Daphnia pulex: one gene and its partner. The protein of the gene in region 1 binds, or shares a complex with, the protein of each later gene. Links are inferred from orthologs where the notes say so. Each region holds a gene or a part of one and is shown in the gene's direction. Other genes may lie near its edges. The genes, in order: vacuolar protein sorting-associated protein 8 homolog and vacuolar protein sorting-associated protein 33A-like.

Evidence for each region.
Region 2: vacuolar protein sorting-associated protein 8 homolog (region 1) and vacuolar protein sorting-associated protein 33A-like share a complex: the UniProt entries of both Drosophila melanogaster proteins name them as parts of the class C core vacuole/endosome tethering (CORVET) complex. The link is inferred for Daphnia pulex from reciprocal best matches to the Drosophila melanogaster genes Vps8 and car.

Annotation. Positions count from the first base shown.
Region 1 is NC_060022.1:5,734,228-5,737,672, reverse strand, and holds the end of vacuolar protein sorting-associated protein 8 homolog, read left to right. Parts: coding exon 1-250; intron 251-319; coding exon 320-672; intron 673-740; coding exon 741-1,003; intron 1,004-1,074; coding exon 1,075-1,392; intron 1,393-1,480; coding exon 1,481-1,947; intron 1,948-2,003; coding exon 2,004-2,138; intron 2,139-2,208; coding exon 2,209-2,519; intron 2,520-2,575; coding exon 2,576-2,674; 3' UTR 2,675-2,766; downstream 2,767-3,445. UniProt on the Drosophila melanogaster protein: Part of the class C core vacuole/endosome tethering (CORVET) complex involved in endo-lysosomal vesicle trafficking and lysosome biogenesis by facilitating docking and fusion of endosomal vesicles.
Region 2 is NC_060022.1:3,591,140-3,595,391, reverse strand, and holds the start of vacuolar protein sorting-associated protein 33A-like, read left to right. Parts: upstream 1-1,296; 5' UTR 1,297-1,618; coding exon 1,619-1,678; intron 1,679-1,733; coding exon 1,734-1,772; intron 1,773-1,831; coding exon 1,832-2,025; intron 2,026-2,086; coding exon 2,087-2,174; intron 2,175-2,237; coding exon 2,238-2,342; intron 2,343-2,409; coding exon 2,410-2,704; intron 2,705-2,776; coding exon 2,777-2,903; intron 2,904-2,965; coding exon 2,966-3,126; intron 3,127-3,213; coding exon 3,214-3,368; intron 3,369-3,434; coding exon 3,435-3,819; intron 3,820-3,879; coding exon 3,880-4,002; intron 4,003-4,078; coding exon 4,079-4,176; 3' UTR 4,177-4,252. Other genes in the region: retinol dehydrogenase 13-like, read left to right, coding at 498-616, 722-811, 986-1,090. UniProt on the Drosophila melanogaster protein: Core component of the class C core vacuole/endosome tethering (CORVET) and the homotypic fusion and vacuole protein sorting (HOPS) tethering complexes involved in endo-lysosomal vesicle trafficking and lysosome biogenesis.

The DNA of each region.
Region 1 (3,445 bases):
TTGCAATCTATCTCACCTTCTATTATGCAGCAATTTGTAGCCCTTTATGAAGATAAGGGCTGGCTTGAGGCTCTGGAGAGCTGCATCAGCCACGTCGATGTCTCTAGCTTGGATCTGCATCAGATTCTGACGTTGTCGCATAACCAGGGGTTGTGTCACGCTTACCTTTACGTGCATACACGGGCGCTTCAGGATTACGTCAGTCCGCTGGAAGATCTGATGAAACAGTTGCAAGGAGCAGTCAAATTAGGTTCAGCATTATATAACATGATTCCATAAAACTAACTAGTTAACCATTCCATGTACCGTATACCCTTAGGTCCGCCGTATTCTGAACAAGATCTCAAATTGGGCCACGTCATCCTGGTCTACATCTCATGTTGTTTGGCTGGCAGGGCTTATCCCGTTGGAGAAATTGACGAAGATTCCCGTGTTAAAGTCAAACATCAAGTGTTAACTAGTCTGACGTGCCTGCACAGTAAACGAGCTTCGGAGGATGAGCCTCCATATCCATTCCTGCGCACTCTACTAGAGTTTAATACCCAAGAATTACTCAATGCTCTTTCATTAGCTTTTGAAGAATCTGAATTCATTGGCGAGATGGGAGCAAGACGCCAGCAGAGAGTAATAGACATTCTGGTTGAAATTATGATCAACTCGTCTCAGTTTTCGGTAAACATCTTTTTCTGCCTAATAGTAATTCTAACTTGTTTGTAACTTGTTTATAATTATTGTTACAGCCGGATCAGATTTGCTCTCTTTTCACATTCATTGCTCGTCAAATAAGTCGCTCACCTCGCCACGACTCTATTCATTTGGAACGTGGTCTTTTTCAGCAGCTTGTAGATTTGGTCTGTTCTTTGTCTTCTAAAGAAACTCGAGTTCAGAGTAGATTCGAAGAAAGGCAACAAGCACTGCTTCAACTTCTTCAGATTAAAGGCCAGCTATCATTGGGAACAGAAGATGAAGAAAAGCTACTTGAACAAGCTCAATCCGCTAAATTGTAATATCATTTAAAATCAAAAATCAATTTGAAACCATTTTCACATTCAATTTATAATACTTTTTTATTAGTTATCGTGTATGCGAGTATATCTACGAGCAGCGCCAAGATTGGGAAAATGTGTTCCAGTGCTACATTGACGATACCTCTCGCCACGGCGACATTCTTCACTTCCTGCGGAACGTTTTCACTGAATCTGTTGCATCCAATGTCCAACTGATGGAACGATTGATTTTGAAACATATCCAACTGCTAGTCCAACTAAACGCAACTTCATTGGCCGTCTTTTTGGCTGTTAACAAACCTGCATTAATTGATGAGGCGGTCACTGCCCTGATACCTTTTCCAAATGAACGATATCGTTTTCTTGAAGCTATTCTTGATTTGGCGTGAGTTTTAACTTAATTTTTATCGACTTATTTTACATTGATGCTTCAAATTTTAAAAGACGATGTTCTCTTACCTCCGTTGAAATAGGACTCAAGATATAGATGGGGCAACCAATACTGCTGTTTTGATCGATGATGACGGTCATTGTATTGAGCAATTTGCTGAACTTATGGCGGAGCTAGAGCCGGAGCGACTTACGTCTTACGTTCAACTAGCCGATATCCCACATCTGCCGCGTTTGTTAGAAATCTGTCGCAAGTTTGCCGTTGTCGAAGCTGAGGCGGCAATTCTTGAACGTCAAGGAGAGATAACAGCCGCTTACGATTTACTACTCGGCCAGCTTCAAGGTTCCATTAAACAACTCTTTGTTGAAACAGAGGGTTGGCAAGACTTCGAGGCTGCTTCTCAATCAGTAATTGATTTTTGTCAGCGACAAGCAAGTTCTTTAACAGAAAAGGAACGCGAAAGGGTTTGGTTAACCCTTCTCGACGAGTTGCTTCTTCCGCAAAGAAGCTTGAAGGGAAATCCGGATGCTTCCGCTTCCATCATCTCAGGTTTTGGAAATTTTTATTTAAAAAAAGGCCGTCCGTTAACAATTAACGATTTTAAGGTTTGAGAGAAGTTACTCAAAAAGTCGTGACAAGCATCCAGGGTCAAATAAGCTTAACTAAAGTGTTACCTCGTTTGATTGAGGATCCCGAAACAACAGGAGGCACTTTAGGGGATCTTCGCCAACTTATAATGGGTAACACAAAAAAAAAAATCTAATTCATTGAGGTAAAGTTTTTTTAATATAATGATTCATTTATTAACAGGTCTTTTGGATAACTACACGTACGAGACAACATTGCTACGGATCAGCACGCGACTGCTTCAAGGGGATGTACACAGTTTACTGTCTCAGCGCTACCGCCAGTCACGGAAAGGTATTGCGTTGCGTGCGTCCCGCTGCAGCAGCTGTAATCGTCTGCTTCAAAACGGCCGGAATCCATCCATTACTGCATTCCAATGTCGTCACGCTTTCCATAGCAGCTGCTTACGAGGGGAAATCAAGCAATGTATCCGTTGTCAGCCAACACCGATCATTGCAGAGCCAGAGCAAGATGATTCTACTGTCCCTAATCAAGTAAAGAGTTTTGTTGAATGTAATTGTTATTTTTCTAACTCTTTGTCATTTTCCAGGAGCAGTTGCCAGTTCCTCAGTTGTCACCTGCTCAGCTGGATTCGATCTACAAGGCAAGAATCGGATTGTCCTCTGCATTACAGAACCTATTCGAGTGATACCCAAATATTTATCCAGTATGAAACTTTTTCGATAAAACTATTCAAATTGTTGACTTATTATTGCAAATACGACTTGAATGTGCGTGTTACGTATAATTTCTTGTTGGGTTCATTCACAATCCTAGAAGGAAAGAGAACGTTTCTCGTATATTTTCCCGTTTATACAATAACTGTACAGCGCCCATCACTTGATGATTGCAAAAAAAGGCATTTATTCAGATTTAGACATTAGTTGGCTAAAATTGTCTGGCCTGTCATCCAAAATGATCCAACATGTTTCCATAAGTTGGTTGGAATGATCCGACAATCACTTAGCCCCATTAAAAATCCTTCAAGGTTTAATTTGAGGTCTGTCACCCCAATCAATGAAAATTCATAATAATTAACTTTTATGTGAATCTGGTCATAAGTTTCTTTGCGATATAATCAATATCTGTTTGTGATGGTTGGACGGTTTATGCTGAGTTGCTGAGTTGGTGACAGTGTGACACGAACAATTTACAAGTTCCATCACGCTATATGGTCCCCCTCTGTTTATGAGCAAAGTAATAATACAGTCCATTCCATTTTTCTCTATTTTTAATGTAATGTTATCTTAAGGGAGTTAGAAGAAAAAACAACGGTGCACCTGTAACCCACTGCTGAAATCTTTCTGCTAGTCATACCTTTACTCCACCGGGATTTTAAGAATTATACACCGTCAGTTTGTAAAGTGATAATCCTTCTTCAAGGCTTGATTTGTCAAGGTCGTGTCCTTGTTTAACTCAA
Region 2 (4,252 bases), about 2.1 Mb from region 1:
TTGTGCCAAGTTCTCTGTACTCGACATCTCGCACCTCTCGTTATCAAATCCGGTATAATAATTAAAGTACAAGTAAATTTAAATGATCAACAATGAAGCAACCTTGTTGTTTGATAGTTCAAGCTAATTTTGATATTTTTAATCACCTCAATTTTAAATTCAATTGTTGCATACGATAAGGTGTAACCGTCAACTGTTTGCATCCTGGTGCTGTCAAAACTGAAATCTTTCGCAACGCTCCAACATGTAACATCATTTTTTATATGTTGTTGTATTCTGATTCAGCCAAATATTACTCGAGTAATTTAATTAGGGTTCCAGATGGTAGCCGCGGTCTGCATTCCACTTTTCTTTAAGGTTTTTTATTTTTTTTTCTTTTTCTGCTGCATTTTAAAAAATCTCATTCCACTGTTTAATTAGTTGTGAATACTTCATTTTCATCAAGCATACATACACTAGAAATTAAATGTATATTAACTTATTATTTTTTCTTATAGGTAAAAACATTACTGTCAATGCTCTTCATCCGGGTGTCGTTCAAACTGAATTTGGTCGTTTCCTTCCTTATGAGACTTTAGTGAAAATTGCATCACATGTGTCTTCTATTTTCTCAAAGGTTTAAGACGAGAAAACTGAGAATTCAATTTTGTTTCCTCATTCATTACTGAGATTGATTTACATATCCGTTGAACGTTATAACTGTCTACCTTCTATATTTCAGTCGGCCAAAGAAGGTGCGCAGACAAGTATTCACTTGGCTGTGGCTGACGAAGTCGCCAACGTTACAGGAGAATATTTCAGCGATTGTAAGGTAAAATATTAACTTAAAACAAAAAACATTTATTAATAATATAGATGCCTGCAAATCAAAGCTGATGCATACAACGATAATCTAAAAGTTGATAAAGATGTACCGGAAATAATATTTGCAATGCAAGTTTTAAATATTTTTCGAATTAAAAATACAATTTTTTTAAAATCACAGATTGCTAAAACGTCCAAGTTGGCAAAAGACCTCGAATTAGCCAAGAAGCTGTGGGAGGTCAGTGAAACTTTTGTCAAGTTGAAGCCAGAAGAGCGCCATTTTTAAAACACCATTAAAACAAGGTGATTGTTTTTGTGGACGTCCAATAAAATAGGAGTTCAATGATTATGAATTTATTTAATGTACTTTATGATAAGCGAAATGACTAATGAGAGGAAAGTGTAATATGTGTTTCCATAATCCGTGTTTTGCTTTTGCCGCTTTTGCCAACTGTCCAGGATAGCCGTTTCGGAAAATGGCAACACTGTATGGTTCCTATCTCAGCTGTTCAGTGTTTACAACTGTAAGCTGTCAGTTGTGCTGATACTTGTCAGTGGTCACTGTTTCTCAGCTTGGGTCTATTTACTAGTTGACTATATACTTTAAAGCAACTATCAATACCAATCATTTACGAAATAATCGAAATATTTCCTCATCAGAAACAAAGAAACAAAAGCTCGGAAACCCTTCGCTTAAGAAATCTAGAATCTGGACAGTTAATAGCGACGTACTTAGACGTATCTTAAAGAATTAAATCTAACAGATCGAATCTGTTTACCAATTTATAAGTCAAATTTTATTAACAAAGCAGCCATGGCTCATTTATCAGCTGGCAAAGTCAACTTTAGTATGCTGAGAGAGTTGGCAAGAAAGGTACAATTTTATACAGTAAAAATAAATTTTGTCAACAGTTTTGTTATTTTTACAGGATATTGTTTCTCTTTTAGAGAAGTTCAGTGGAACAAAGGTATTTTGGTGTGTGCTATTCCATTTAAGAAATTTACGTAAATTCATCAATTATGCTAGGCGATATTTTGGGATGAACAACTCACTGGCCCCATTGGTTTGGTGGCAGAATACAGTTTTCTTAAGGAACTAGATGTTGTAAAAATGTTCCAGTTAAAACCTGGGCGTTTGCCTTCCATATCTGTTAAAAATATACTGTTCATCACAAGACCTGAAGTTGAGCTGATGGATTGTATTGCAGATAACTTGCACAGGTATGAATAATCTACATATTTTAACTTTAAATAGACAACAATTAGTTAATTTACATTTCAGCGAAGAAAGCCAAGGACATTCTGCTAGTAAGGAATATCAGTTAATTTTTGTCTCCCGACGAAGTGCAGTATGTGAGCAACGGCTCAAGGTTGGTTAAAGTTACTTAAATCAGCGAAGAAGAAATTGTTGACAAAATTATTACTTCATTTAGGACAAAGGAGTGTATGGAACTCTTACTTCTATTGATGAACTGCCTGTTGATTTTTTCCCACTGGATAGTGATGTCATTTCAATGGAACTCGATAATGTTTTCAAGGTATTTATTTATGAGCCAAACTTTGAAAGGGATTGCTTGTCATTGATTTCTTCAAATTTCTTCCCAGGATCTATATGTTGATAATGAAATCAGCTCCTTACACCAAATTGCTCATGGGTTAATGTCCCTCCAAAGTTTATATGGCATTTTCCCCAACGTTGTGGGTAAGGGACGCCATGCCCGTAACGTATTCGAATTGATGACTCGAATGCGACGTGATATTGGGGTAGACTGTGATCCCCCCATGTCTCCGTTGTTCGACACTCTCATGATCATTGATAGGACTGTAGATTTGATAACTCCTGTTGTCACTCAGTTGACCTATGAGGGTCTTATCGACGAATTCTATGGAATAAAACATAGTAAGAAAGTATTGTTAGCTTCTGTGTAAAACAATTATTTTACTTGCATTTTGTGGTTTCATTGTTATTTAGATACAGTCAAGCTTCCAGGAGAAAAGTTTCAAGCCTCTTCACCTGCGGGCCAGTCACCTCGCTCTGATGATAGCTCTGTTAAATCTGTTGTTCTAAACTCGGCCGAAGAGCTTTACGCTGATTTGAGGTGAAATTTTGAATCAGACAAATTTTGCTTCCGACAGTTTTAAAGTTATTTATTTTGCACAGGGACAAGAACTTTTCAGCCGTGGGTACTGCACTCAGTCGCAAAGCTAAAGCTATTTCAGCTCAGTATGAAGAACGACACGAAGCAAAAACTGTCAGCGAGTTGAAGCAGTTTGTAGCAAAACTACCGCAGATGCAAGCCACCAAACAGTCTTTAGCACTACGTAAATACTTTGTCGTATTTTTTCCTGGCCATTATTTAAGCTGTATTACGCATTATTTAAGCTGTATTACGCATAATTTTTTTACAGATACATCTGTCGCTGAATTGATTAAAGAAATAACTATTTCAGAAGCATTCCAAGAGGCCCTTCAAGTGGAGCAAGACCTTTTGAATGGAATTGATACTGACAAAGTTTGTCCATACATTGAAGATTTCATTTGTAAGCAGGAACCATTGACTAAGGTAACTGAAGTGGCAGTTGGATACATTTTGCCATTTCCCTTTATTTTACATTTATAATTATCACAGATTCTTCGCTTGATTTGTCTGCAATCTGCTGCCAATAGTGGCCTGAAGCCGCGCGTCTTAGAACACTACAAAAGAGAAATTATTCACGCTTACGGATTCCAGCACATGATTACGCTTCACAATCTTGAAGCTTGTGGTCTCCTTCGATTGCAGCAAAGTAATCGTCCTTTTACTGTTATACGGAGAGCGCTGAATCTTACGGTAGATGACGTCAATGAAATCACACCTACTGACATCTCCTATGTACATTCTATTTACGCGCCACTAAGTGTACGATTGATTCAATGGGCAGCTAAGCCCGGATGGAAGCAGATTTCCGATGTGCTTAATTTGATTCCAGGACATTTGGTTCAAGAAACTCAACCAATTTCCATTGATTTAAGAAGTTTGTTTCCGTTTCTTAGTTTTTATGAGACCTTATAATCACACTTCGACTGTATTTTAGGAAATTCTAGAAATAGTGTCCATAGTTCGATTGAAGAAACCAAGGTCACATTAGTATTCTTCCTCGGTGGATGTACCTACGCAGAGATTTCTGCTCTTAGATTTCTATCTAAAAGGGATGATGGTAAGTAATTAGCGTTCAACATATTTTGCAAATAACAACTTAAACAATAACTTTTTTTTTCCTTAAAATTTTTTAGCACCTACAGATTATCTGATTGCCACGACAAATATAATAAATGGTGAGAGTTTCCTTACTAGTTTATCTGAAACTTTAAATGGTAACTCTCTAGTCTAAGTCTAATGTTATATATTTACCCCATAATTCTACATCTAAATGAAAAGAGTGTTGCATACATTTTTGCTGTGTATTA